Bombyx mori: one gene and its partner. The protein of the gene in region 1 interacts with the protein of each later gene in a pairwise test. Links are inferred from orthologs where the notes say so. Each region holds a gene or a part of one and is shown on either strand. Other genes may lie near its edges.

Evidence for each region. The genes of interacting proteins can lie anywhere in the genome.
Region 2: the proteins of GTP-binding protein RAB2 (region 1) and vam6/Vps39-like protein interact in a two-hybrid assay, tested with the Drosophila melanogaster proteins (2 studies listed by BioGRID). The link is inferred for Bombyx mori from reciprocal best matches to the Drosophila melanogaster genes Rab2 and Vps39.

Annotation. Positions count from the first base shown.
Region 1 is NC_085125.1:6,237,472-6,240,306, reverse strand, and holds part of GTP-binding protein RAB2, read left to right. Parts: intron 1-1,488; coding exon 1,489-1,644; intron 1,645-2,781; coding exon 2,782-2,835. UniProt on the Drosophila melanogaster protein: May be involved in bidirectional endoplasmic reticulum (ER) to Golgi trafficking. Together with Rab7 involved in promoting fusion of autophagosomes and endosomes with lysosomes, probably through recruitment of the HOPS tethering complex.
Region 2 is NC_085124.1:8,478,522-8,482,046, reverse strand, and holds part of vam6/Vps39-like protein, read left to right. Parts: intron 1-39; coding exon 40-229; intron 230-1,374; coding exon 1,375-1,492; intron 1,493-3,525. UniProt on the Drosophila melanogaster protein: Part of the homotypic fusion and vacuole protein sorting (HOPS) tethering complex involved in endo-lysosomal vesicle trafficking and lysosome biogenesis.

The DNA of each region.
Region 1 (2,835 bases):
TTTTGTTTAGTTTTATATTAGGGGTGGAGTAATCTAGGGAAAAATACTAGCGGCTTCCGTTTTTAATCGCGAAGCCCTAATTTTCCAGTATTGAGAATAAGAGCTCATGTCTTGATGTTCACGGTAATGATGTTCACTTTAAGATGTCTATAGGCTTTTTTATCCAATTAACAACTAGTGGCCCGTGAGCTCGATCACGTATCTTTGCAATAAATATTACTAAACATAAAAAAAATTATAAGAAATAATCTTTAGATCACATTAGGTGAACGACATTGCACTCATAGATTCAAGTGTCATTACAGAAAAATAATGCTTATGGATAAGTTTTCTAATGTGTCCATGTATATGGGACATGTTTATTAAATGCAAATATAATCTATCGTATAAAAAGCAACGACTTGATTCGATATTGCCGAGATTCAACTAATTATGTAGTAACAACTATTTATATTGAATTTTTGTTGTGTAAACTAAAAGTGCAGTAAAGGAATTAAAATTACTTTTATAGTTTAAATTAAGTGTTTTTATAATTTTATCACGTATGACTCTTTAATAGTCCTTGACCACGAAAGATGTAATAAAAATATCCAGAACGTCTAACGACTACGACCACGGCAGCTTAAAACTGAATTAACGGTTGTCTATTTTACTATTTATAGCAAAAATATAATTAGGTACTATTTTTATATTATGAAAGATCAAGTGAGGCTATACCCATATATCATGGAAAGATAAGTGTGAGGCAAGTACGAAGTGTCGCAATGTTCCAAAGCCATTACAGTCTAGACTGTAGACATGTTGAAAGACTTGATTTCTAACTAAATTATCGACATCCATCAAGGTTGAATGAAACATCTCAGGTTTGTAATGGTTTTAAATAATGAATTCTATTTTAATGTTAATTAAACTAAGATAAAAATGAACATGTGAGTGTCTTTGAAAGTAAACGACCACACAACTTCGTCGATCATAGACATGAAAACTGCTAAGGCATAGCTGCTTCCTGCAGAAAACTCTTCAAACGTTGTATAAAGGAAGACTGTACCATTTCCAGGATTTACACATATCTACAGATTCGTCCAAAGATCAATTTTTGTCGAGATTCTCGGTTACATCAACTAGAAATAAATACCTTATTATTTTTTTAATAATGGAACTAGAAACGAAACAGTCTTGAATTGAACTGGTGGTAGGACCTCATGTGAGTCCGCACCGGTAGGTACCACCATCCCGCCAATTTCTGCCCTGAAGCGGTGACGCGTTTCGGCTTAAAGGGTGGGGTAGCCGTTGTAACTATACTAAGACCTTACAACTTATATCTCAAGGTGGGTGGCGCATTTGCGTTGTAGATGACTATGGGCTCCAGTAACCACTTAACACCAGATGGGCTGTAAGCTCGTCCACCCAACTAAGCAACAAAAAAAAAGAACTTCTACTTTTTTTTAAGTTTGTGAATTGAAAGAATCGATCTTTGTATTGTTTTAGGTCCATCACCCGATCGTACTACCGGGGCGCGGCTGGCGCTCTGTTAGTTTACGACATCACCAGACGGGAGACTTTCAATCATCTCACAACGTGGCTCGAGGACGCGCGACAACATTCCAACTCGAATATGGTCATTATGCTTATCGGTAACAAGAGGTACGTAACATTGGTATGATAAAGGTGAACGTAAATAAATATATATTTATAGTTTAAAAATTGCTAGCAAATTCAATTGTCTAAAGAAAAGAAAAAAATTAGGCAATTTCTGGTGTGCATTTATGGTAGTAGTCGGTATGTTTAGATTATTTTGAACTGTTCTCCTAATTCTTTAAAGTTGTTATAGTCTGTTCATGTTGAATTTCGATTACAATGAAGATTTCCACGTGCAACCTAACTCATACACACAACTCACCGAGTTTCTCGTCAAATTTTCTCACTGGGTCGTGATTCAACGAAGCATTGCTCTGGCTAGGGCTAGTGTTAGCAATTCTCTCAGGATGAGCCCGTGGGCTGACCTGACCTGCCCGTCCGAGCGTACTTACAGTAGGCGCCCGAGTTCACGTCTATCCTAAAGAATGCGGTAGTGCTGTGACCTAGTTAATTATGGTAATGTCGATAATAACTACCGATTTAGTCAACAGCTGTAAATTTGCTTTAATGTAACTTGAGGTAAAAATGTGATAAGTCCTAATTACTTGTTTATTTCTAACAGAGAAAAATATTTTTTAAATTCCGATTCAATCACTATCAAATGAAAGGACAACCGATAGATTACAGTCGGAATCAGTATGTATATTTTTTTAGTAGTTGTTTTTTCTATCTGAACTTGTTGGAAGCGGAGTAGTCATGGTTAAATAACACAATAGCGTTAGCGTAAATTATCGATATCGATAAGCGCGCGTCACAACCGTCAAGGACAACACTCGACGTCAGACAAATGCGGGGTGGTGGGCGAAGGTGGGGCGAGCTGTCCACTGCGCGTCGCCTCGTGCCCCGATGGACATGAACTCGCGCGCATACAGTAGAATGGCCCTCTAGTTTTGGCGCTATCACATTTCTAATTCACATTTTAAACTAATTTCAACAGCAAAGCAAACACGCAGTTAGGCTTGAAGGGATTGAGATTCGGATCTCGTACCGATTTCAGCAATTAAAATATACAACTACCCTATTTAGTTAAATTACCTACTCGTTTGAATAATTGAATATTTATAACTTTCTTGAGATTGTACGATTTTAAACATATTTAACTACACAACTAGGTACTAAACTAAACGACGGATTGTTTTTCAGCGATCTCGAATCCCGACGTGAAGTGAAGAAGGAAGAAGGCGAAGCGTTCGCTCG
Region 2 (3,525 bases), on another chromosome or scaffold:
ATAGTTACATTCTGCATACCATTTTATTACATTTTTCAGGTGTCAGATGGAAAACCAAAAGAACTATTTCCCACAAGTAGTTCTAAATCATTAGAGCCAACTATTTCTAAGTACACAGAGACATCTTTCCTAGTAGGACGTGACCAAACATCGGTTCTTATAGAGGAGTCTAATAAAAATGTCGATATAAAGAAAACTATTAAATGGAAGGAGGCGCCTCTTGCTGTGGGTAAGTTTGTCTGTTTATTGTTCTATTAGATATCTGTATCTCATCAACTAAGCATACGCCTGTCTCAAAGCTCTAAACATAACCTTTCCTCCGACTTTAACATTAAATCTCTGACTAATAATCGGCGCTGCCCACCGATGTACTTATTGAAAATATCGCCCATTTCTGCCGAGACTTTATGAGTCCTTACTTCAATACAACTGAGATTTGCACCTAACAGCTAACTTAGGTATTTTATGTTTGTGCGACCCATCCAATTGGAATCTACGTTATTGCTGTGACTTATGAACATCGTCTTTCCCGATGCTGCGGACTGAATGGTAAACAGTCGACGTCGCCCAAAACACGTAATTTTTATCCCCCGATCTGCTAACGGTGTTTTCATGTACATCAAGTACCGATTATTCCTCTCGTCGAACCTGTTGCCTGCGACGAAGGGCTCGGAAGAGAATGCCCATGGCATTAAGTCCGCCTGTGTACAAGTTTTGTTTTGTGCATAAAGTATAAATAAATAAAATAAATAAATAAATTAAACCACAGACACAGTCCACTGAGTTTCTCGCCGGATCTTCTCAGTGGGTCGCGTTTCCGAACCAGTAGTAGATTCTGCAAAACACTGCTCTTGCTAGGGTTAGTGTTAGCAACGTCGTCAGGTTTGAGCCCCGTGAAATCACCTACTAATTCGGTGAATCTAGAATAACCCCTTGAGGTTACTAGAATAGGTAGGAAAAAAGTAACAGCAGGTAGGTACTGGATTTATCTGTCCATGTACGTTAATAAGAATCTGTTCGGCGTTTGAAAAGAGCTCAAGTCATTGCATTGTACATGAGCTCACGATTTAGTCCGTATTAACTGGTTATATTGCCAAACATTACAGCGTGAATTCCGCAAGTCTTAGACATATGTATATAGGTCTAAGTGTCTCTCATAACGCCCAACCGTTGTCCCACCCTACCAACTGGAAAGTACTATTGCGACATATTAGAGACAAGTTAGACGGTACCCTAATGTGGGCTTATAAAACATCAATACCGATAATGGCTGTTGACCGCAGTATGTTGCTACGGTATTCAGAGAACACTGCTATCCATTCTCTGGTGAATCTGATTGCTTTTTACGACTTAATAAAATACAATCACTTTTAGTGTGGGATCAGCCGTTTGTACTGGGTCTATTGCAAGATCAAGTTGTTGTGCAGACTGTGGAGCCAGCGTTTTATATACAATCATTGTCCGAATTGAATAAAGCAAGACTGATGTACAGGTAAAATGTAAATATATCTATATCTTTATATATTTAAATCGATGAAGACTTCTTGCGTCTTTTCATAGTCGAACCCTGTTGCATCCACCGTTTCCAATGGGTTTTAAACTATTATTCGTGCGAATATAGTTACATTGGTGTCATGTGAATTCTATTACCAACAATAAATTTTATTTAAATTCAAAAATAAGATATTCAATTTGAAATAATTTTCGCTGGTTCCTTGCATCCGTTCATGATGGAAATAATGTGTCACATTGTATATTTCTGTATTTGTTCCATACATTTAATCAGTTTTTCGACATCCATCCAAATGTATGGATATATCGGTTCCGTATACTGTCCTGTATTTATTCTATGCATTCCACTAATTACATGACTACTTGCTATATTTGAGATGATATAGGTACCGAATATTTTTTCTGTATGTACTCCATAAATTGTTTTGAGGTTGCTGCTTCCTCCTAAAGTTATAGTAATATCGATACCGTATACTTTTTGGAGTGCTGCCGTCTTCGATTAATGTAATAAATAATAGATCCCAATGAACCAATCCCAAGAACCATCTCCTTTTATGAAGTCAATAAAAATAAAATTTATGTAGCTTTGGGTTTGGATGCCGGCTTTTTTTCCTATTCGCCGGTAGCCTAGGAGACTATTTCAGTTATTACCTTACGAGTAGGTGAGCTCATGGCTTCAAACCTGAGAAAATTTGCTAACACCAGCCCTAACAAGAGTTGTGCTTCGCTGAATCTATCACCGGAACGAAATTGCGACCCACCGAGATGACAATGGTTTATCGATAGCGAACACACTCTTCAAACAACGTCCACGCAGGCTTGTTGCTGCACTTGAACTTCACCAGCTGCTCAATACTGAAATCAAATTGACTATATACTTATAAAATCAAGGTGGAGTGGTGGAGCCGACTACGGATCTGATCCTTGTCTCTAAATTCCAACTTAAACTTCAGGTTGCAAGAAAAATTAATGAATGCGAAATAATTGCTCCTCATGACACCCACATCTTTTTTGTATCTTTCGAAAAGAGTTGGAAAGAAATGAAAATTGAACGGCATGATCAACTGACGGCTGAAGAATTTTGGAATAGAACAAAAGCAATGATTTGAGAAGCAGTGAAAACATTTAAACCTACCAAATCTGAAACCAAAAACATCAGCACTGGATGAGTGATGAAGCTTTACCATTGGTGGAAGAGAGACGACACAAAAAAGCACAGGAAGTTGAAGTGCAAATACTGAACAAACTGGTGCTAACATTCAAACAGCCTGTAGGAGGGATAAAAATAACTTTCTGAGAGAGATCTGCTCGAAAGCTGAAGCGCATGTTGAAAAACACGAAACAAGAGATGTACCGGAAAATTAGTGTAATCCCCAAAACTTGTGTCAGACCTGGGCTGTTGAGAAATCGGATGGATGTGTAGTAACAGAGTTAGAAGACTTTCAGACCGATGGAAAGAATATTGCCAAGCTCTCTTCTTTGACCCCGACTGCAAAATTTTACCCCCAACGACATCAGATATCCAAGAATGCGAATCAGAAATACTGAAATAAGAAGTTCGTCATGCCATCAAACATCTTAAAACTGGAAAAGCAGTAGGAAGTGATAACATCCCAATCTAGACAGTTAAAGATTTTAGCCAGAGTGGTGTCGAAATCTTCCACGCAATTCGTACAAGATATGGAAATCTGGCACCTGGCTTACAGAATGGACGCACTCCCTTTTTATTCCTTTGCATAAGAAAGGTTCGACAAGGAAGTGTAGCAATTATCGTCTTATTGCCCTGATATCAATCACACTGCAGCAAAATTCTACATATTCTTAATGAACGTTTAAAAAGCTGTTCAGCAACACAAATAGTACCAGAACAAGCTGGCTTTGTAAAGGAAGGGAACCAGAGAACCGATCTTGATTGTGCGACAAATAATAGAGAAGCCGAGAGAGTTCAACATGCAAACGTTCATTTGCTTAGTTGACTTTCAAAAAGCATTTGACTCTGTTAAATGGCCGCAT